Drosophila melanogaster: one gene and its partners. The protein of the gene in region 3 interacts with the protein of the main gene of each other region in a pairwise test. Each region holds a gene or a part of one and is shown on either strand. Other genes may lie near its edges. The genes, in order: CG9961, Spx and Pfas.

Evidence for each region.
Region 1: the proteins of Pfas (region 3) and CG9961 interact in a two-hybrid assay, tested with the Drosophila melanogaster proteins (one large-scale study listed by BioGRID).
Region 2: the proteins of Pfas (region 3) and Spx interact in a two-hybrid assay, tested with the Drosophila melanogaster proteins (one large-scale study listed by BioGRID).

Annotation. Positions count from the first base shown.
Region 1 is NT_033779.5:2,742,875-2,749,371, forward strand, and holds CG9961 (uncharacterized protein), read right to left. Parts: upstream 2,061-6,497; 5' UTR 2,051-2,060; coding exon 1,893-2,050; intron 1,839-1,892; coding exon 1,730-1,838; intron 1,664-1,729; coding exon 584-1,663; 3' UTR 501-583; downstream 1-500. Other genes in the region: Hrs (hepatocyte growth factor regulated tyrosine kinase substrate), read left to right, coding at 1-211; Cwc25, read left to right, coding at 2,325-2,342, 2,398-2,620, 2,683-4,007; Pgk (phosphoglycerate kinase), read right to left, coding at 4,138-4,378, 4,437-5,381, 5,446-5,507.
Region 2 is NC_004354.4:6,251,463-6,258,123, reverse strand, and holds Spx (spliceosomal protein on the X), read right to left. Parts: upstream 2,303-6,661; 5' UTR 2,214-2,302; coding exon 2,180-2,213; intron 2,106-2,179; coding exon 2,022-2,105; intron 1,964-2,021; coding exon 1,038-1,963; 3' UTR 528-1,037; downstream 1-527. Other genes in the region: Rbcn-3A (Rabconnectin-3A), read left to right, coding at 2,776-2,862, 5,279-5,496, 5,561-5,709, 6,133-6,661.
Region 3 is NT_033779.5:6,039,555-6,049,283, reverse strand, and holds Pfas (phosphoribosylformylglycinamidine synthase), read left to right. Parts: upstream 1-3,233; 5' UTR 3,234-3,363; exon of another isoform or gene 3,364-3,390; intron 3,391-3,570; exon of another isoform or gene 3,571-3,657; intron 3,658-3,687; exon of another isoform or gene 3,688-3,757; 5' UTR 3,758-3,766; coding exon 3,767-4,856; intron 4,857-4,932; coding exon 4,933-7,209; intron 7,210-7,272; coding exon 7,273-7,970; 3' UTR 7,971-8,103; downstream 8,104-9,729. Other genes in the region: IPIP (inositol phosphatase interacting protein), read right to left, coding at 1-273, 347-407; CG34179 (uncharacterized protein), read left to right, coding at 641-1,150, 1,504-1,545; slmo (slowmo), read left to right, coding at 1,584-2,231; CG31643 (uncharacterized protein), read right to left, coding at 8,153-8,360, 8,420-8,615, 8,671-8,945, 8,997-9,276, 9,341-9,729. UniProt on the Drosophila melanogaster protein: Phosphoribosylformylglycinamidine synthase involved in the purines biosynthetic pathway. Catalyzes the ATP-dependent conversion of formylglycinamide ribonucleotide (FGAR) and glutamine to yield formylglycinamidine ribonucleotide (FGAM) and glutamate.

The DNA of each region.
Region 1 (6,497 bases), 3.3 Mb from region 3:
CCAGCAACCTCAGCCACAACCCCAAATGGGTCACGTAATGCTGCAGCAGCACCAGGCTCCTCCAGCAGCACAGGCACCTCCAGTTACCGAAATCGCCAACAATCAAGTCCAAGCGGTGGCTGCTGCACCTGCTCCGCCGCAAAACGAACCGGGACCCGCGCCCGTTAAAGCTGAGGAGCCGGCTACGGCGGAACTGATTAGCTTTGATTAATCCAAGAGATGTTATTCCATTTGTATTACCCTTCAGGGCTGGGTCAGAAAGTTCTCGTGCGGCTGTTAAGCGAAAAAATGTATGTTTTGTTTAGTTGAACGCGGTTATTAGTTACTATTTCAAAAGTTTTTGTTGCGAGAAAGAGGAACATGATAAATTTTAAGTTTAGACCAAATCTATGGAGGTAAAAAGATAGTTGGAAAGTAGTGCTGCACGAGATCGAGGCCCGCCCTTTTATCACGTTTTAACCGACTAATGTTATTCCACAATAAAAATAACTTTGTATTTTGAGAGACTGATTGTTTAAATTGTCCAAATTGAATTTAAGATACATGTACATATAAGTGGAATAACCATTGTAAAGCAGTGCGTTTAGGCATCCGAAAGAGCAGCCACTCCAGGCAGAACCTTACCCTCCAGCAACTCCAGGGAAGCTCCTCCACCGGTGGACACATGCGAGACCTTGTCGGCGCCTCCGAACTTCAAGCAAGCGGTGGCCGTATCCCCACCACCAACGATTGTGGTGGCTCCTCGGTTAGTGGCCCCGATTACTGCCTCCAGCATGGACTCGGTGCCTTTGGAGAATAGCTCGTTTTCGAACAAGCCTGGCGGTCCGTTCCAGACGATGGTTTTGGATGCACAAATAGCGCCAGCAAACATCTGACTGGATGCCTGGCCGTGGTCCAGACCCATCATGTCCTCCGGTATGCCCTGTGTGGCATCCACATGTTCCACTTTATCCGGCTCCTTGTCGATCTTATTGGCTATGACAAAGTCAATCGGAAATAGTATATTCACGTCCTTCTCCTTCGCCTTGCAGACTATGTCGTTGACCAACTCGGATCCCTTCTCGTCGAAGAGGGACTTTCCAATCTCCATGCCATTGAGCACTTTGAGAAAGGTGAAGGCCATGCCACCGGATATGATCATGGCCGTTACATTGTTCAGGAGGTTCGTTATCAGTGGAATTTTATCGGCTATCTTGGCGCCACCCAGAATGGCCAAAAAGGGCTTGGCCGGATCGTGGAGAACCTTGGCAAAGTACTCCAGTTCCTTGTCCAGCAGGAAACCAGCCGCTCGCACCTTGTAGCCATCGCCCATCATGGAACTATGCGGACGATGTGCTGTTCCAAAGGCATCGTTCACATAGATCTCGCCCAGCTGCGCCAACTTGGCTCGGAATTCCTTCACCTTCGCGGGATCTGCTTTGACCTTCTTCTTGTTATCGTCCTTGCTGCTGCCCGTCTCCTCGGCATAGAAACGAAGATTCTCCAACAGGAACACAGTGCCGTCGGAGGGATCCTTCAAAGCTCTCAGGGTGCTATCACCCACGCAGTCGTCCAGGAATTGAACCGGCTGGCCCAGCACACTCTCCAGCTCCTTGGCCACGGGTTCCAGGCTAAACTTTTTGTTCTTTTTGCCATCCGGACGCCCCAAGTGGGATGCCAAAACCTAGGCAAAAAATTAAGTTATTCGTTCTATACTTTTTAGGAATTGAAGGAAGATATATCAACTCACCAAGGACTTACATTTCTTGTCCAAGGCATATTTAATACTGGGAAGTGCGGAAACAATTCGTTGGTTGTTGGTTATTTTGCCATCTTTCATGGGTACATTAAAGTCCACTCTAAAAATAAATTTATAAATCACACACTAAAACATATCTGGCAAGGATACTCACCTCATAAAAACCCTTTTCCCAGCCACATCTACATTTTTTAAGCTCAACTTCTTTACTTGCTTTCCATTGCAATCGTCTTTGCTAAAAAATCTTGGAAATCTTAATTTTGTAAATCGAGTTTGAGCTCTTTGGTATAAACTCTGCCGAATTGGAAGCATATTAAATAAATTTATTACCTGTTTTTGACTGAAAATACAATGCACGATGAGGAAGTAATTATGAAAATAAGTAACTAAATTAACTATTTTCAATAATTTTCGAAAAAGTAAAAGAAAAATGTAACCCTATGGCAACACCAAGTTAAATTACTTCACCACGATCTGGCAGCCCGGGCGAACATATGATTTTGTTGAAAACAACAGAAAAGGAGGGAAAATCTGGAATTGTTTGTAATTTGTTTGTTTTGCTGTTAAAACGCAAATCAAACCCAAGATGGGTGGCGGAGATCTAGTAAGTAATGTCTCCCAACTGATTATCCGTCAATTACCATTGATTTTTCCCGCAGAATCTGAAGAAATCATGGCATCCGCACACGATGAAAAACCAGGAGCGCGTTTGGAAGGCGGAGGAGCAAGCGAAGATGGAGGAGCGCAAGCTGCAGGATCTGCGCAAGGAGATCAACGAGGAGCGGGACAGAGAGGAACTAAGGCGATTGGGCGAAAGTTCCGGAGTGCTGAGCAATAATGGCGGAGCCGCCGGCGAGGCCAAGCTGGAGTGGATGTACAAAAGTGAGTCATACATGTGAAACTCTTATAAAACTCATTATCCATACATATTTATCTTGCTCCAGACAGCACAGAGCTGATCAACCGCGAGGAGTACCTCCTGGGCCGTAAGATCGACAAGTCCTTTGAGACGCTGCAAGCGGAGGAAAGCCGCCAGGAGCAGAACACAGTGGGTCTCAAGCAAACGATCAACCATGTGGAGCACGACTGTGTGCCCTTCTCCATCCGGACCTACCGCAATGTGCAGTCCAACGAACAGGTGGACATACAGCGCAAGACCCTCGAGGATCCCCTGATGCTCATCAAGCAGCGCGAAATGGAATCCCGTCGAAAGCTGCTTGAGAACCCCGTCAAGCTGAAGGAAATCCATCGCATTCTCAAGACTGAACAGGAACAAAAGGCCGCAGAGGGAAAGAAGAAGAACAAGAAGAACAAAAAGTCTAAGAAATCCAAAAAGAAGAAGAAGAACCGACGATCCAGCAATGAGGAAAGTAGTGACAGCGAGAGCAATGATAGCGACGATGACTTGGACAGAAAATTAGCCCGCCAAGTGAGCAAACTCAAGGGAGACCAAGGTGACCTTAAACTGGACAAGCTGCTGGACGCCAAGTACCGCACCATTTCAAATCAATTAGACATGGCCACCAAGAAGAAAAAGAGCAAGAAATCCAAGAAGAAGAAAAGCAGCGATAGCAGTGACGAAAGTAGTGACGAAGAGGAAGAGCCAAGGAGAAAGCACAAAAGGAGCCACAGCTCAGAGGACAGAAATCAGCGAGAAAGACGCAGGAGTAGAAGCCCCCGGGATAGAAAAAAGCGACAGAGTAGAAGTCCGGAACAAAGGCAAAGGCAAAGGAGTCCAGAAGAGAGAAGGGAAAGGCGCAGGAGCAGGAGCAGAAGTCCCTTAGCGAGAAGACAGAGAAGAACCAGGAGCCCAGAGGACAGAAAAGCCAGACGTCAAAGCAAGGACACTTCAAAGCAGCGCGAGAAACGCAGGAGTAGGACACCTGAAGAGCGTTCCAGATCAAAACGCAGCAGGAGCCGAAGTTCCAAAGGAGATGACAAGCGAAGGATTGCCGAAAGACCGCCTCCCAGCCGTCCCACCGGCAAGCCAAAGTTAAGCGAAGCCGACCGAGAAGCTCGCCTGCGCGAAATGATGGACAACGCCACTTGGAGAGAAGCGGATCGCAGCCAGGTGGTTCGCAAGCACCGAGAAGCATACGCGCGCGAGGAGGCCCAAAATCGTGAACGAGACTTCGACAAGGAGTTCATTAACAAGGAGGTGAAGAAGGCCATTGCCAACCATAACTCAATTGGCGATCGCATCCGGGCCAATCTCAACAACATACAGCGCACCGCCTCCTCAATGGACAGCAACTTTGCCCGCAAATAAACTAGGATTCCTTTATTTCGTATGCATTATATGGTTCCGCAACAAATAGATTCAACACTTTTTAACGTCGTGGTTTGTGCTTACAAGGTAAACGATGCGATTAACATTAATATACCGTATATATGTACGCTTAGGCGCTGGTCAATGCAGCCACGCCTGGCAGTGTCTTGCCCTCCAGGAGCTCCAGCGAAGCGCCGCCTCCGGTGGAGACGTGCGAGACGAGTGCCTCCGTGTTCCACTTGGCGCAGCAAGAGGCAGTGTCGCCGCCGCCGATGATGGAGACGGTGCCGTTCTTGGTGGCGGCCACCACGCCGTCCATGATGGACTTGGTGCCGTTGGCGAAGTTGGGGAACTCAAAGACACCGGGGGGTCTAAAATGGGAAAACCATTATAGGACATTTGGAGAAGTAGCTTCAGTGTGACACCTACCCGTTCCACACGATGAGCTTGGCGCGTGCGATGGGTGCCGCGAAGAGCTCACGGGTCTTGGGACCCACATCCAGACCCATGTGTCCATCGGGAATTCCGGCCTCCACGGTGGCCTCGCTGACGGCAGCGTTCTCGGCGAACTTGTCGCCGCAGACAAAGTCCACTGGCAGATGCAACTGCACGTTATTCTTCTTGGCCTTCTCCACCAGTTTCTCGACGATCTTGGAGCCCTCCTCGTCGAACAGGGAACCGCCGATCTTCATGTTGTTGAGGACCTTCAGGAAGGTGAAGGCCATGCCGCCACCGATGATCATCTCGTTGACCTTGTCCAGAAGGTTCTCAATCAGCTGGATCTTGTCGGCCACCTTGGCGCCACCGAGAATTGCCAGGAAGGGATTTGGTGGCTTGTCCAGGGCCTGCGAGAAGTACTTCAGCTCCTTGTTCAGCAACAGACCAGCTGCGCGCTGCTCGAAGCCATCGCCCATCATGGAACTGTGGGCGCGATGGGCAGTGCCGAAGGCGTCGTTGACATAGACATCGCCCAGCTTGGCCAGGCTGGCACGGAACTCCTTGACCTTGGCAGGATCGGCCTTGACCTTGCCGCCGCTGGCATCCAAGCCCTTGCCCTCCTCCTCCACGTAGAAGCGGACGTTCTCCAGCAGAATGACGGATCCCGGTGCGGGATCCTTGCAAGCGGCCTCCACTTCGCTGCCGACGCAGTCACTTAGGAAGATCACATCCTGGCCAAGCAGGGTCTTCAGCTCAGCGGCCACGGGTGCCAGGGTGTACTTGATGTTCTTGTTGCCATCGGGACGACCCAAGTGGGACATCAGCACCACCGACTTGGCTTTCTTGGAAAGGGCCAACTTGATACTATCCAAGGCAGCGACAATTCTCTGGTTGCTGGTGATCTTGCCCTCCTTGATGGGCACATTGAAGTCGACGCTGCAAAGAAGCACGGGCAATGTTTATGCAACTGAATTTCACGCGAGGATTGGCTTTGGATTACCGCATCAACACCCGCTTGCCCGCCAAGTCCAGGTTTTCGATGCTCAGCTTATTGAAGGCCATCTTTGGATTTTTCTGGATTTTCTGGATACTTCCTGTGCGTGCTAGCAAACTCCGGATTGCGATACCACTGATTCCGCGAATCTTCTTCGTCCTCAACTGCTGTGCGGCAATGTCAGCGCAAGGTCATTTTGTCGGTGAGCTGCTAGGGTTGCATCTCCACTTCCAGGGCGTCAATCCGTGGCAAGCGGTTTTCCGCCGATTGGTAGGTGCCATGCGCAGGATCCAGCTGGGTATACTCCTATTTTGGAGTCCGAAGTTGGTATCGGATTGTATTCTCGTTCGAAAGTTGGATAAAAGTTGTACTCTCCAAATGCAACTCTGTATTTGGCGCCCAAGCAGTGTTGGTAAGTGCTGTCAGCACAGTGCTGTGAAGCATCCGTTCCAAGGGTGTCGAAAAGGGGCCACACAATTCTAAAATTTAAAAATCTATTATTTAAAATATCATTATTTTCATAATATTTAAATATTGTCCATAGATAATCATATGCTAAAAATTAACAAAATAAATGTCTGCATATTCTGACTAGATCATTTAATTGATCATTTGCTATTTACAGTATACAATTTTTTTTATATTAACTTAAATAGAAACCGTTCATATAATATTTTCACTTAAATACATATAAAAATTATTTTTTTTAATAAATTTTTTATAATAAATTTTAACCCCTTAGAACTTTTTTCTTCCACACCCTTGAATGTCTGTTAAATTTTAACTGAAAGTCCGAATTAGTGATTTTTTATAAAAATTTATAATTAATTTATAAAAATAATAAAAAAAAAATTTAATAAATAATAATAATCTACGACGTACATACATATGTCCATACCGTATGTAACAGCCGCCCCTTTGATGTTTGTATGTCAATATGTAATTATTGAATAAATGATTTCTGTTGAGGCCAACAAAGTCAAATCACACAATCTTTCTCGGTGGCCGTTGTTTTATTTTGACTGTGCAAACGGATTCCGCTTATGATGCCATGATGA
Region 2 (6,661 bases), on a different chromosome or scaffold from region 3:
TTTATATATACATCTTTTTTAAGGTAAACAAAAAAGAAAGAAACAAATCGAAAACCAAAAGAAATTTAAATAAATGCGAGAAAATTGATGCGTAACGATTCGCTTGTACATCGTTATTGATTAAAACTATTACTATTACTATTACTATTACTATATGCCTCACAGTTTTTTTTTTGTTGTTGTTTGTCTTGCTTAACCAAAAAAAAAAAAAACAAAAGCAAAAGCAAAGAGACGAAGGAGAAAATAACGTTAAATATAACCATTTAAACGTAAAGCTAAAGTTAAGTTATTTTACCAAACGAAATGGAAGTTAGCACAGTGGGACTAAACCAAAATCGCTTAGGCAAGAATTCAATAGACGAAGAGTAAAAAATGAATAGTAGTCAAAACTATTGTAAATACTGTACTTGTATGTTTCCCATATTAATAAATTTATGCTAAACAAATTACAAGACCAAAAAACAAACGTGTTTCGAAAAAAAGCGGGACGGCATCATTTTGGGAATGCTAAAAAAGAATCCTAGTTTCATTTCAATAAATGGAAAATCATTCCTCAGTTTATTTTGAACTACAAGCTAGTTTCTATACATAACTTCAAAGGATTGGACATTAAATTAGAGGGAGCCCTTTAAAAATACTTAGTTAAATTACAAAAAAAAATTATCGCTTTCTTCGTATGTTCCATTCAAATTAAACTTACAGACTTGTTAATGTAAACGTTTTATGTTTATTGAAAATAGTTCCGTTTAAAAAAAAATCAAGAATCGAGAGTCAATTTATATCAAATCATTTCGTTCATTTCAAAATTCTATTCAAAGTTATTTAATTTCGTCTTGTAAGAATTCGAAGATTGTATTGCGACTACTAAATGGAAATACAATGATGATCTAAATGTCTCCCAGTGGTTTCCCGGTTGTTAAATGCATATTAGAAAGAAGAATGGAAATCTTAACATATCCCAGAGCAGGCTTCATTGATGAATCCTATTGATGTTTATTTCTCGTCTCGTCCAAATTGGTATACACTACACGCTAGACTTAGTACTGGTAGCCGTCGGGTTGATAGGGCCGTGCGTAGGGCGTGGGTGGGAAGGGCACGGGCGGCGGACGCCAGTTGGTGGGCGGTGGTCTGGGCGGAGGAGCAGGCATGCCGGGCGGTGCCCATGCATTTGGTTGCATCATGCGAGGCGGCGGCGGAATGCCCATTGCTGGCGGCAGCGGCGGCTGTCCGCCGGTCATCGGTGGCAACGGAGGCGGCGGTATCGTAGCTGGGAACGGTGCAGGCTGGGGAACGGGCGGCGGCGGTGCTAGCATGCCCATATTGTTATTCGAAACGGGCACCACCGGCGGCGGCGGCGCCATCATGGGTGGCGGCATCATCTGGCCCGGCATCTGGGCCGGGATCTGGCCCGGCATCTGGGGCATCATGGTTTGCACCGGTGCATCGGCGAACAATTGATGCGGCCGGTCTGCATGGGTCGATGGATTCTGGGCGGCCAACAGGCGCTCCGCAGCCGAACCGTGACGCTCGCCCTTGTGATCCTTCTTGAAGGCATAGGACACGGAAATGGGACGGTTGCACAGGTACTGGCCGTTCATGGCGTCCATGGCCGCATCGCTGGCCTCGAAGCTGGCAAAGTTGATGAACGCAAAGCTCTTAGACTTGCCCGTCTCTGGGTCTCGCATGATCTTCGGCGTCTGCAGTATAACGCCGAAGGCGGAGAACGTATCGTACAGCAGCTTCTCGTCCACTTCCACGTCTAGGTTGCCAATGAAGATGTTGGCGCCGACGTCCAGGTTCTTCTGATGCGCCGACGCCTTGTTCACGCGAATGGGCTTGCCGTAAAGCTTGATCATGTTCATGATCTTTATTCCATAGTCGGCGTCTTCCTCGCTGAGGAACTCGACGAATCCATAGCCCTGGTGCATTTGGGTGACACGATCCTTGGGCATGTGTACGTTCACTGCAAGCATGACGATTAGGGAGCTGCTAGGCACTATACATGTGTGTCCGGGACTTACCCACTGGTCCTGCCTGGACAAACAGCTCCCAAAGCAGCGTTTCCGACACCTTGTCGTCAAGACCGCCGGCATAGATGGTGGCATCTGTGGAAGGAACGGAAAAGGCGGGTTAAAGCGTCTCCCAAGTGGTGCAAATGTGGAGTGGAGGTCAAACCCACCTTGGTTGCGTTCAGCAATTGGACCTGCCGCCATTTCGGAGCTATTTTTATAAACAAAACCAAAAACTAATTTTCGGCGTTTTCAACATGCAAAAATGCTCGCAACACAACCCTGAATATCGAAACAGCCTATCGATACCATGAATCGATATATATTCCACGATTTCGTTTTTATTGGCAATCGAAATTGATATCGAAATCGAATCAAATCGAACGGATATTAGAAAAAATACTAAATATAGACGAAGCAGAATAATTAAATATAATTTCAATAGGTTAAAATATTCACCTCTATTTTTTGAAAATAAAATGAAATATTTTAATAATAATATTTTAATTAAATGATAAACAGTTTTTCGGTTAATTGGAGTAACCGTATTTAAATTACTCAGGCGATATTTCGCCTCCCATGCCGTGCCATCCCTAATATCGATAGTTCGATTGGCCGCGCTGGCCAAGAACCCAACTCTAATTTTTATGTAATGTCACTTTGTTGTCGTTTGTTACAAGAAGCAAGGAAAATTCGTGCTAGAAACCAAAGAACCAAGACCCCAATATCCGTGCGCTGTGATGTGATAATCAACTGTGTGTAAATTATGAATTGTCATCAGATTTTGAGCGGCGCTTGCAATGCAGGCGACCGGTGCTTCGCCATTGGCTCCGTGGAAGGAATACCATTTACAGTAAGCACAGAGCCATCCCAATCCGAATCCGGATCGAATTGGGTGAAAATCGGTGGCGGAATGTGCACCATTATCGGCCCAACCAGCCGGACACGCCCCCCAACCCCCCCACGCACACTTGGTTCAAAAGGTTGAACCGTTTCCAATTGGAAACGGGGCATCATCATCACCATCGTCGTCATTCCAACAAGAACCGATCGGAGCACGTCTTTAATGTTTTTATTTACATATTTGCGTGTGTGTGGTGTGCGTGTGTGCGGTGTGTGTGAATGTGTGTTGAATTTTATATCGTTTTTTTTTGCCACACTTGGTGGTCAATTAAAAAATCAAATGCAAATGATGAGATAGAGAACTTTTCGTGTTTGCTGGCTGGCGCTGTGCAAAAATTCGATAACAACAAAGTGTGCAGCTCGAGTGTGTGTGTGTGTATGTTGTGTGGCACAACAAATACAACACAATGTTTGTTTTCACCTGCATTTACATACCTGGCCAGCAATTAATTACATTTTTATTTTTTTAAGGTCAAGTGCTGGCAGTAAACAAGCCGCACGCACACACACACACACACATGCGCCAGTTGCAGTGAGAGTGTGTGCTTGAAAGTATATACGCATGTATATATATATAAGTGCGAGTATGTGTGTGTGTATACCCTTCGATTGGTCAGGTGGCCTTTGATGCCCTAATTTCGCAGCTTGCAGGCTGCCCACCTTCCCCTTCCCACGAACCCTTTCTCTATGGCAGCACCCCCCGCCCCGCAACCCCTTTCGCCAACCCACGTCAATGGCAAATTGGAATTATAAACGGCCATAATAAAAAAACGTGAGCACGCATTTATAATGTGCCTTATTCGATCCCTATACTATATACTACCAAATACTCTTAGCAATCTGGCCATTTTCGTGTCTAAAACCTTTAACGGTAACAGGAAAAAGTTGAAGAGCTCACTATAAACTTCGCTATGTCAACTTCGAGTTTATAAACATTACACCCATTGAGACATGTGTACTATATGTTTACTCAGAATGTTTATCCGATGTAGAGAACAAGGTCTGTGTTTTCCTGCAAAAACCCAAGGAAGCATAATTAACTACTGTGCACATTTTGCCATTCTAATGAGAGGCCCCACGGGGCGTATGTGTACATTATATATATATTCTATATTCTACTATATTCTATTCTGTAATCAGCACCGCCGTTGACACAGTCCCCCGTTCACAGACCGACCACCAACCACCCAACACCCACCCACTGCCCACCGCCTTGCGCCATATCATTTGCCATCATTTCAATTTGTTTAATTTCGAGTGTTTGCATATGTGTGGATGTATGTGTGTATGCATATATTTATTTAGTATATGATCGGCACGAACACACTCCCCTGGCGCCACCTAGCGTTTGGAAGGGGAAACCAAAAATAATAAACTCATTAAAACCGCATTTAAAGTCAAATTTTAATAGTATAGCAATACTACAATAGGATACCGTAAAAAAATCACTGTTTATTTTCAGCAGGTAACAAAGTTTTATATAAAGTAATCTTATCCGCGGGAACACTAATGGGTTGGTAAGCGAAAAGTTCGGAAAACCCTCCATTGAAAAGTATCATCGGTGTGTTTACTTAATGGGTAATATTCTCAGTTAAACGCATAAACCCATCATAAGCTGACATTTAAAGCAATGGGAAAACCGGAAAGCAAAAAGCTAAATATAAACACGACAGAAAAGCAGAGTAGTTGAACCTTTTTATGTCAAAAAGTTAGCAGGTGTGTAGTGTGTAGTGACGAAGTTGTTAATACCCTTGTTTTTATGAAATGATGTTTTTATTCATTAACTAGCTAAATAAGGCTCACATTCCAATATCGCGATAAGCCATTGCAAACAGATTCTCTGTTGATATTCCCCATTTATCGCTATTGTAACTAAACGGGGTATCTGTAATCTCCCGCATCAATGAGCCAATTATAAAGATAAAGCCTGCTGACTCAACCCTTTACACCCGCACTAATGATCCTTTGCCACAGATCGTCATGCGGTAATGTTTTAGAGATAATTAACATGAATAGTGTTTCCACTATAAATAGTGTACCCCCTCCCTAGCCCACTCGAACAGGGTATTCAAATTTCTGGCCACGATAATGAGCATATCAGCGACAGCTCAACAAATAAATCAAACACACTTTAGCTAACCAGGTAACCAAACATGATGTGGCAAGAGCCTTGTCATCAGCCAGCCTGATAAGCCAGTTAACTGGACAGTTGGGGTATTGTTATCGATATAAAGCTATATACCCACCCGCCCTATATACACATAGCCACTCAAAAACAAATAACTGAGAAAACACATACCGATCGTATAACGCTTAGATTAACTGCAGTACTCACAAAATCCCCATTTCGCCCCTCCTATTATCAGGCCTACGCCGCCGGCTGCAATGTGGTCATCCTGGCAAGCACTTTCGAGCGCGTCCAGATCATTCCGGGCGCCAACCATGGCTATGTCAAGATATCCGCCCTGGACTGCAGCACCGATACCGGAAAAATAGCAGCAGCCTATGAGAATAAGATATGCATTTTTGAGCCCACGCCGGTGATTGAGTCGAGCAAACACAATACCCACTTTCTGGATTACAGGTAAGCTAGCGATGGTATTAAGAAGCCCAAAGACATACTAACTTATTTTTTCATACCCCCATAGATGGGTGCAAACGGGCTCCTTCACCAGCCACTCGAACGTGGTGACCCTGTCCTGGAATCTGGAGGGCACCCGCCTCCTCACTGGCGGCACCAACATCCAGCTGTGGAAGAGCAAGTCGCCCACTCACCAGCAGGAGGAGGAGCACACGGGTAAGCCAATAGCTGCCCAACACCCCATTTCTATGTGTCTCTGTGTGGCCACCTATCGATTTGCGTGGGCGGAGATGAATCACAAATGCAAATTACTTGCAATGGGTTTTTGTTTTTTACGTTTTGTGATGTCGTCAGTGGGGTGTTTCCGTTTTCCATTTTCCTATTTTATGGAGCTATTATAAACAATTGCAAGGTTGTAGTTCTCATCTTTCGTACTGTATTTTGTCTAATAACTCCATACGTTTGTTTGGCTTTGTAATTAAGAGCGATATGCTCGGTTTCTTGTTTAGTCTGGTTTCCATTTCTGGTTCCATTTATAATTATTTATTTGATATTAGAGCACTGTGAATGAAAAAGTTTTCATTGACGATATTCCTTTGTCAATGACTTGATACTAATCAGTATCACCTTTTCAAATAGGTGTCAAGTTCGAGATTGGCGAGAGCAAGGAGCCCAAGCAGACGAGCAACGCCCAATCGGAGGATGTGTCCACGTGGGAGAACATTTGGAGTTGCCAAACGGCCATACCCATTTACCACATGGCATTTAGTCCGGATGGAACGCTCTTTGCCACCTGCGGACGCAACGATCGGCTGGTAAAGATCTGGTATGAGAACAAACAGGTTCTATTCCCGGCCAAGGGTTCCTCCAATGCCGGACCCACGCCATCATGTCGCCACGGAGTGGACGATGGTACCACCTCAAGTTCTGGCGGTGAGCTAAACTTCACCTACGTGTACATCGCCCATCCGCGAGCCGTGTCCAATATTGTGTGGCGCAAGACGAGCAAGTATATGCCCAAGGGTTCGGTTGCCAATATGCTGGTCACGTCCTGTCTGGACAACATATGTCGCATCTGGATCGAGACGGTGCTGCCGGATGACGGAATGGTGAACATGACCCAGTTCGATCCGATGGCATCGCAGAACCCCAAGTTCCGTACGCATCG
Region 3 (9,729 bases):
ACTCGTAGCCGGCGCATGTTAGCGCCTTCATCCACGTCTCCATGCTGTCTTGGTTTTCGGCGGCGAGGATGTAGGTGCGATTGCCGTTGAAGGCGATCTCGAAGCAGTAGTTGTCCACCTCGTTAGACAGCTCAATGGTGCAGCCCTCGACAATGATGAGGCCCAAGGGCTCCTTGTCCAAGCGCGACTCGAAGTAGAAGAGCAGGTTGCCTTTCAGCACGAAGTAGCGTCGCTGGAAGGCCTTGTTGACCTCGCCCCGTTTGTTGAGGAAGCCTGCAAGGCGTATCGGTGTGTGATAAATGGATTATGATTATTAATAGACGAGCGAAAGGGCTCGCTTGCATACCTTCCATGTCGAAGGGCGGCGTTCTCGCGAACACGTACAGGTTCTTCTCGTTGATCTTCATGGCTGCACTGTCTCGGGCTGCATTCGAAGCAAATATGGGTGTCCTATTTCCGCCTTTCGTCTCTTATTATTGTGATGAACAGGTAAAAAAAATGCAAAGCGAGAAACAATTGACGCTGCGCGAACAGCTGATGGCCAGTGCTGCCACACCTCCACCGGTTATCGATTGCTGGGTGCGGAATTTCTAGTTTTCAATGTAGATTGCAAACATAAACGAATTTTGAATCCTGCGAAATGTCGTACTTACTCACGGAAATCGCGCTGGAGATGCTGGGCTACAAGTTCTACGACACCAATGGCACATTCCACCTGACCAATTTTCAAAACAACTCCACGCTCAGCGAAACGCATCCCGATGAGCCCTCCCTGCAGGAATTCATTGAGTACACAAATGAGGAGCTGAAGCAAGACGCGCAACAGCAGGAGCCGCACACGCTGGCGGTGCAGGAGGAGTCGTACCTGGATGCCCCCACCATACCCGAGTCACGCTATGCGCGGCGCACGCCGGCCAAGGCGCTGGCCAAGATAATGGACTACGAGAGCGAGAAGATAGTCAACCAGATCAGCACTCGTCTGGAGGGCTCGGTGTCACGTCGGGCGGCGGCGGACAGTGACGAGCAGCTGGCCGAGATCATCAACGAGGAGAGGAAACTAATCGAGGCGGATGCCGAGGTAATACACAACTTTCGGGAGCTCGTGGAGAGCCGACTACAGCGATTGGATAAACGGCCCTACGAGAAATACGTACGTACCTTCGGGCCGCAATAGGAAGCTGCACGTGCAATGTCAAAGTGCCGCCATTACTTTTAGAATTAATTTAGTTTATAAATTTAATAAATAAGTTACCGCTACAGGGTGCCTGCGGCACTTTCATTTTCTCTTACTGCGCCAGTGTGACCACCCTAGCCCATGCACTGGCCAGCGATAGCCCCATCTATCGGAGCCACTGTCATCTCTAGCAGCACAGCACGAGTAAAGGTCAGCTCTCGTAACTTGTCTCGGAAATATTCAATAATTCCGAGATTGCCGTCAAAATTCGAGTCGTGTACTTCAGCTAACGCTCCCCCTGTTTAATTCCGTTCCGTCTGCCCCCGCAGGCTCAGCTCAGCCCGCATCTCGGCTGCCAATTAAGGATATAAAGCCCTCCCCGGACGGTGACGACAACGGCGCTTGCATAATGAAAATCTGGACATCGGAGCACATATTCAACCACCCGTGGGAGACGGTCACGCAGGCGGCGTGGCGCAAGTACCCCAATCCGATGACGCCCTCCATCATTGGCACGGACGTGGTCGAGCGCCGTGTGGTGGACGGCGTCCTGCACACGCATCGCCTGGTGCAGTCCAAGTGGTACTTCCCCAAGTGGACGCACGCGCTGATCGGCACGGCCAAAACTTGTTTCGCCAGCGAACGCTCCACGGTGGACCCGGAGCGCAAACAGATGGTGCTGAAGACAAACAACCTCACCTTCTGCCGCAACATCAGCGTGGACGAGGTGCTCTACTATGAGCCGCATCCGTCGGATGCCAGCAAGACGCTGCTCAAGCAGGAGGCCACCGTGACCGTCTTTGGTGTGCCGCTGTCCCACTACATGGAGGACCTGCTCACCTCGACCATTAGCACAAATGCCGGCAAGGGACGCCAGGGCCTGGAGTGGGTGATCGGGCTGATCAACACGGAGGTCAAGGGCATCGCTCGCGGCACCGACGAACTTCTGCACAACACACGGCGCTCCATCGACGAGGTGACGGAGAGCGCGCGGAAGAGCATGGACGAGATCAGTGCGCAGGCCGCCAAGGCGGCGAAGGCGATGCACATTACGTAGGTGTCGACAAGGCGACAGTGCAAGGTCGCGCGGGGGCTGTTCACTAGTGAATTATTTAGATGGCGCGCGGTCGTCGTTTTAGTACAACTAATTAATCGATGGCACGATGGACATGGACAGCAACATGTGGGACAGCAACACCTTCCTCTATTCTCAAGCCATTCAATGCATATATTTTATAATTATTACTCCCCTTCGAACGAATCGACTGCTAATGAGTCATGTCGATAAAGAAGTGCCCCCGAATGGCTGAACTGGAAGGAACTCGCGCTAATGCTGGCCCCCATTCATGCAGATCAATATATATATAAACCTAAAGTACATAGTCAATGTAAGCTTTGTAAGCCGCCGCAGATTTCGAAGAACGAGAGGAGCAATTAAACGACATATTTGCCTACGACCAGCCAGTGTCAAGTTCAATTGTTTAATTTTAATTCGCAGCACACTTGTACTGCGTCTTTTTTTTTTGCATTTGCATGACGTTCGCATGTGCAACTGCAGCAATTTTAAGCATTCTGTGTATAAATAAAACCCAAGAAAGTCGATTTGTGGGTTTTTTCTCTACATACATACTTGATTAGCGATTTTTGGCGTCTGTTTTATTCGCTTATCATCAAAAGCCCACGTGCCTAGTGGCTCAACAACTGTGTACCTAGTTAGCATCGCAGACATGGAAACTGATATGTCCCTTATCTGGTTCAACAGTTGCGAAGAATGTGATTGAAGGGGAAAGTGGGTGCTTGGAAACAAGTTGATGATCAAACAGCAGGTGTTCTAGGGACAAGGTGAAATACTTTTACCTAACTTATCAAAAGAAGTAACTTATTTATTTAGCAGTTTTCGTAAGCTTTTAATCAAAATAAACAAGTAATCCTTACGAATTACAATTAAACTATTTGGTTCATTGAACCCGTGTAGCATTAACCCTTGCAAGTTACGCAATGGGTACAATTTACGAAAGCTTTTAAAGCTCAATTCGCCTAAGGGTTAATTTGAATTCCAGCGGCAGTCGCTGTGCAGCACTGGCCAACCGAACGCTGTGGTGGATTGAGCCGCGAAATGAGGGGAAACCGAGCTGGAGCCTCAAAACGATCGTAATTTGCAGCTAAGACGCACGTGTGCTCCGCTCAGTGTTAGTGTTATTGTGCTTCAATTTGGGGTATTTGGCGTTAATTATTTACCTAAATTCCGACCATTCAGCAACGCAGGTTTCCGTTCGTAATGGAAAATATGTTTACGCCGGCTTATCAGCAAACTCCCAGCCGGGGAAAAACAAAAACAAGTTGTGACGCCAGTGCAGCGATTGCTGCAGGCGATTCCATCGATTTCGCTCGGCTGTAACCTGATCCGCTGCTGTGGGTTGTGGGCTGTGTGGCTGTGGTATAGGTGCCGCCAGTTGATAACCCCCAGCGTGGGCACGGACCCACTGGTCGTCAACCGCTTCGCAACTCCCAAGATCATTCTCGATTCGACGAGCAAGGAGTGCACACTGTCTGTACTCAATCCGCATTTTTCGTTTCTTGCAGCCCCACGACATGGTCATCCTTCGCTACTACGATGTGCAGGCCCACTCCGCGGCCGAGGAGGAGAGTGTCCTGCGTCGGTTGCGCGAGGAAGACGGCGCCGTGGTGTCCGTGCGCATGGAGCGCTGCTATCATCTGGAGTACAGCGCTCAGGCAGAGCACTCACTGGCCCTGGACGAGCTGCTGGTGTGGCTGGTCAAGCAACCGCTGAGCAAAGGCCAGAGCTTGTCCAGGCAACCTGCCCTGCAGTCAACTGGGTCGAGTCAGTTGCTCCTGGAGATCGGGCCGCGTTTTAACTTCTCCACGCCGTACTCCACGAACTGCGTGAACATATTCCAGAATCTCGGGTACTCAGAGGTGCGTCGCATGGAAACCTCCACCCGCTATCTGGTTACTTTTGGCGAGGGATCAAAGGCGCCGGAGGCAGCCAGGTTTGTTCCTCTGCTCGGTGACCGCATGACCCAGTGCTTGTACACCGAGGAGAATACCCCCAAGGCGAGCTTTGACGAGCAGCTACCTGAGCGCCAGGCCAACTGGCATTTCGTGCCCGTTTTGGAGGAGGGTAGGGCGGCACTGGAGCGGATTAATCAGGAGCTGGGCTTAGCCTTCAACGACTACGATTTGGACTACTACCACGACTTGTTTGCCAAGGAGCTGGGCCGCAATCCCACCACTGTGGAGCTCTTCGATTGCGCCCAGAGCAACAGTGAGCACTCGCGCCACTGGTTTTTCCGCGGACGTATGGTGATCGACGGCGTGGAGCAGCCCAAGTCGCTGATTCGCATGATCATGGACACGCAGGCCCACACGAACCCGAACAACACCATTAAGTTCAGCGACAACAGCAGTGCCATGGTGGGATTCGATCACCAGACCATAGTTCCGTCCTCCGTGGTCGCTCCCGGCGCAGTGCGTCTGCAGAGCGTGCAGTCTGACCTGATTTTCACGGCGGAGACCCACAACATGCCCACTGCAGTGGCGCCTTTCAGCGGAGCCACCACCGGCACTGGCGGACGACTGCGTGATGTCCAGGGCGTGGGCAGAGGAGGCGTGCCGATCGCCGGCACCGCTGGCTACTGTGTTGGCGCTCTTCACATTCCAGGTGAGCATTGCTTTTTTTTTGAGTATTTAGTTCCTATTAGTTTTTATTATACATCACGACTTTCTTGTCGTCGCAGGTTACAAACAGCCGTACGAGCCTTTGGACTTTAAATACCCTGCGACGTTTGCGCCCCCACTTCAGGTGCTCATTGAGGCGAGCAATGGCGCCTCCGACTACGGAAATAAGTTCGGCGAGCCAGTGATCTCTGGTTTTGCCCTCTCCTATGGACTGAACAGTGCTGCCGATGCCAGCCAGCGGGATGAGTACGTGAAACCGATCATGTTCAGCGGTGGCTTGGGCACCATGCCCGCTACCATGCGCGAGAAGCTGCCGCCGGCACGCGGTCAGTTGCTGGCCAAGATCGGGGGCCCAGTGTACAGGATTGGAGTGGGTGGCGGCGCCGCAAGCTCTGTGGAGATACAAGGATCCGGAGATGCTGAGCTAGATTTTAATGCCGTACAGCGAGGAGACGCCGAAATGGAGAATAAATTGAACCGTGTGGTGCGAGCCTGTCTAGACCTGGGCGAGCAAAACCCCATATTAGCCATCCATGACCAGGGGGCTGGCGGCAACGGCAATGTCCTCAAGGAGCTAGTGGAACCAGGCTTTGCCGGAGCTGTTATCTTCTCCAAGGAGTTCCAACTCGGCGATCCCACGATCACTGCCCTCGAACTGTGGGGTGCCGAGTACCAGGAAAACAATGCCATTCTTTGCAACGCTGATCAACGCGAACTGCTGGAAAAGATCTGCCGCCGTGAACGCTGTCCCATCAGCTTCGTGGGAGTGGTGACCGGAGATGGGCGAGTAACGCTGCTGGAGAAGCCTGCCCCCAAGGATCTGGAACAGGCGTTGAATGCGTCCAATCGCAGCGAAGTCTCACCGTTCGACTTGGAACTTAAGTACGTTTTGGGCGACATGCCCAAGAGAACGTACGACTTGAAACGCGAACAGACGCCGCTCAAGGAGTTGAGTCTGCCGAAAGGTCTCCTTCTGGACGAGGCCTTGGAGAGAGTTCTTAGCTTGGTGGCAGTCGGTAGCAAGCGCTTCCTGACCAACAAGGTGGATCGCTGCGTCGGTGGATTGATTGCACAGCAACAGTGCGTGGGACCGCTCCAAGCTCCACTAGCGGACTACGCGTTAACCACCGTCTCCCACTTTAGTCACTCTGGAATCGCCACTTCAATTGGTACACAGCCACTAAAAGGACTGCTTGATCCCGCCGCAATGGCCAGGATGTGTGTGGCTGAAGCGTTGAGTAACCTTGTGTTTGTAAAGATCAGCGAACTGGCTGATGTCAAGTGCTCTGGCAACTGGATGTGGGCTGCAAAGCTGCCCGGCGAGGGTGCCCGGATGTTCGACGCCTGCAAGGAGCTCTGTCAGATTCTTGAGGAACTTCACATCGCCATCGATGGCGGAAAGGACTCCCTGTCCATGGCGGCTAAGGTGGGCGGTGAGACAATAAAGTCCCCGGGTACTCTTGTCATCTCCACCTATGCTCCCTGTCCGGATGTGCGGCTAAAGGTAACGCCTGATCTTAAAGGACCCGGCGCGGGGTCGAAGACTTCCCTGCTCTGGATAAATCTGGAGAACAGCGCTCGCCTAGGTGGATCGGCTCTGGCTCAGGCATACGCGCAGCAGGGCAAAGATACGCCAAACTTGACAAGGAGTGATGTGCTGGGCAAAGCATTTGCTGTGACTCAATCGTTGTTGGGAGATGGACTTATTCAAGCAGGACACGATGTCAGCGACGGAGGATTGCTTGTTTGCGTATTGGAGATGGCCATCGGAGGACTGAGTGGCCTTAGAGTGGATCTATCGGAGCCCTTGGCCAAGCTCAAGAACTTCGATAAGTCTGTCGAGAAACTTAATCGTCCCGAACTAGCTGTTCTCTTCGCCGAGGAGTGTGGATGGGTGGTGGAAGTCCTGGACACAGACCTGGAACGAGTTCGATCTACCTACGAAAAGGCAGGAGTACCAAACTACTATTTGGGCGTGACCGAGGGATTCGGACTGGATTCCAGAGTGGTACTCAAGAACGGCAAGTCAGAGCTGCTGGACCAGCCACTCCGTGTGCTCTACAAGAAATGGGAGAGAACCAGTTACGAGCTGGAAAAGCTTCAGGCCAACCCTGAGTGCGCCGAGGCAGAGTACAATAGCCTTGAGTATCGCCAAGCACCTCAGTATAGGGGACCTCAGAATGTGCAGGCCGAGCTTACTCTCAAGCGATCCTCCGCCCCAGTTCGCGTGGCCGTGCTCCGTGAGGAGGGTGTCAATAGTGAGCGCGAGATGATGGCCTGCCTGCTGAGGGCTAACTTCGAGGTGCACGATGTGACCATGTCGGATCTTCTTCAAGGTAAACTCAATGGTAAATTCTAATAAAGGGGGAAGTACTAAAGCAAATAATTTAATATTTCAGGCACCGCAAGCGTGTCCCAATACCGCGGACTAATTTTCCCGGGCGGCTTCAGCTATGCGGACACTTTGGGATCCGCCAAGGGCTGGGCAGCAAACATCCTCCACAATCCCCGCTTGTTGCCTCAGTTTGAGGCTTTCAAGCGTCGTCAAGATGTGTTCTCCTTGGGCATTTGCAATGGTTGCCAGCTGATGACACTTATAGGATTTGTTGGCAGTGCAAAGAGCGAGGTGGGCGCAGATCCCGACGTGGCCCTGCTCCATAACAAATCGCAGCGGTTCGAGTGTCGTTGGGCCACCGTGAAGATTCCAAGCAATCGCTCCATCATGCTCGGAAGTATGAAGGATCTGGTTCTTGGCTGTTGGGTGGCTCACGGCGAAGGTCGCTTTGCATTCCGCGACGAGAAGCTCATTAGCCACTTGCAGTCGGAACAGCTGGTGACATTGCAATATGTTGATGATGTAGGCAAACCGACGGAACTGTATCCACTTAACCCGAACGGTAGTCCTCAGGGAATTGCTGGCCTTTGCTCGTCGGATGGACGTCACTTGGCCCTCATGCCACATCCCGAGCGATGCTCCTCCATGTACCAGTGGCCCTATGTGCCATCTTCATTCGAAGTTTCCCCCACACAATCGGAAAGTCCTTGGCAGATTATGTTTAACAACGCGTACAATTGGTGTGTCAAGTCGAATCAATAGATATTCTAGATGAATTGAAAGCAGTTAAATAGGTTCTTGGCATTTATGACCTGATATATCTAAATACTATATACACGAATTTGTTTACTATTTTTATAAAATAAACTTAAACACTCAAACAACTTTAAAACTCAAATAAGCGTACTTATGAGTAATGTCGTCGCAACGAATAGAAATGAAAGCTAATGTGAAATTTGTAACAAGCATTTAAGGTAGTTGGCCTTGGCTGTTGATGACGCCATATACTTGGAGTTCCAGTCGTGCTCGTTGATCTGCATCACTTTGTAGCCCATCATCTCTAGATGTCGCATCTTCAAAGATTCAGGACCCCGCAATGCAGTCAGATCGTTTTCACAAAAAGAGTCGAGCTTGAGCAGTAGTATTGCCACTCTGAAATTGGAGTCATTAATGAAGTACCTGAATAAGGTAACTTCCATTTGTGTGCCTACTTGGTTATGCGATCCAACATGGTTGCCTCCACGGGAGGTGCTGGGATGGGATTTTTATCCCGATCGAAATGTATCACAAAGTCTATTTGGTAGCCGTAGGGTGTAGTGTGGTTGCAGCGGAAATGCTTGTCATTTTGAAGAAGCTGATGCAGCAGCTGCTTCACCTCTGTTGTGGACTCACTGGGTATTAAGGATTCTAAAAAGATAATATGATAAAGAACGCCTAATACAGAATTGTAGTTATATGTTACTTTTGCTGATCTGCGCCTCGATGTAGTTTTGTTGAAACCAGGGCACATTCGCCTCGGGAAAGTCCAGGCATACTGTGCGATTCAGTTGCATAACCAGGTTAAGGACCCTCTCCGGATACGTTGCTTTTGAGTAGCATACTTGTATCTCATCCTCGATTCGCTGAATGAATTTCACGCAGAATACTTGATTGATTAGCTGCTCTGGTATTGATTTGTAAAAGCACAGTGCTAGACAAGCCTGGACAACCGATAAACCGCTCATCTGGTCAAAATCTCTGATGGAAAGATTACATTTTAGATCTGCCTCAAGAAATGTTTATGCCCACCTTAGCAGTACTTCGGAGGCGTGGTTTAGAGCCTCCACGGACGCTGGCATGTAGCCCAAATTATACGAGCAGGTCAACACTTTCTCCACTGTGTCGCCGGAAACGTGATCATGCTGTTCGGAAATGTAGGCGAACATGGACTCCAGGAGCTCGGGAACAAAGAAATTCGAAGCGTTGAAGTTGTAGGCCATGTCCCGAACCACCCGAGAATTGAGATCGTTGCAGTGCAGATTTTTGTACTGCGCCAGGGCCTGGTTGTAAACCACCGTATTCTTTAGCTCTGTAAAGGGATAAAATTGTTTAAATTTGTTTATATTTCAAATGAACCAAAGTTATCAACTTACTCTTGCGATGACTGAGTGTTCTGACAATCATGCTCAATTCGCTGGCATTTAGAGGGTCCTTTTCGGCATCTCTCAAGTGCCTCTCCGCACAACCGATGAGAATGCTGTCCATTGTGGACAGTTGCATGCCAGCTAATGCCGGAAGATGCTGGCGAAACCTTAGTTCGCTGGCTATTTGCATGCCGCGACTGAGGAGAAAGCAATCCTGAATGCCAAGCTGGGGCGCCATTGCGAGCATTTTGCTTAACAAAAAGTTGGGAAATTTCTTCCAGGCCAACGGAGTCTGCCCGTAAGCTAGCACAAAGGATGCAAGTCGTGCGAACTTCGCTGGCAGCCTTCCCGCTATGTCATGCTCAATAGCATTCATGCACATGCGACTTAGCTTTCGT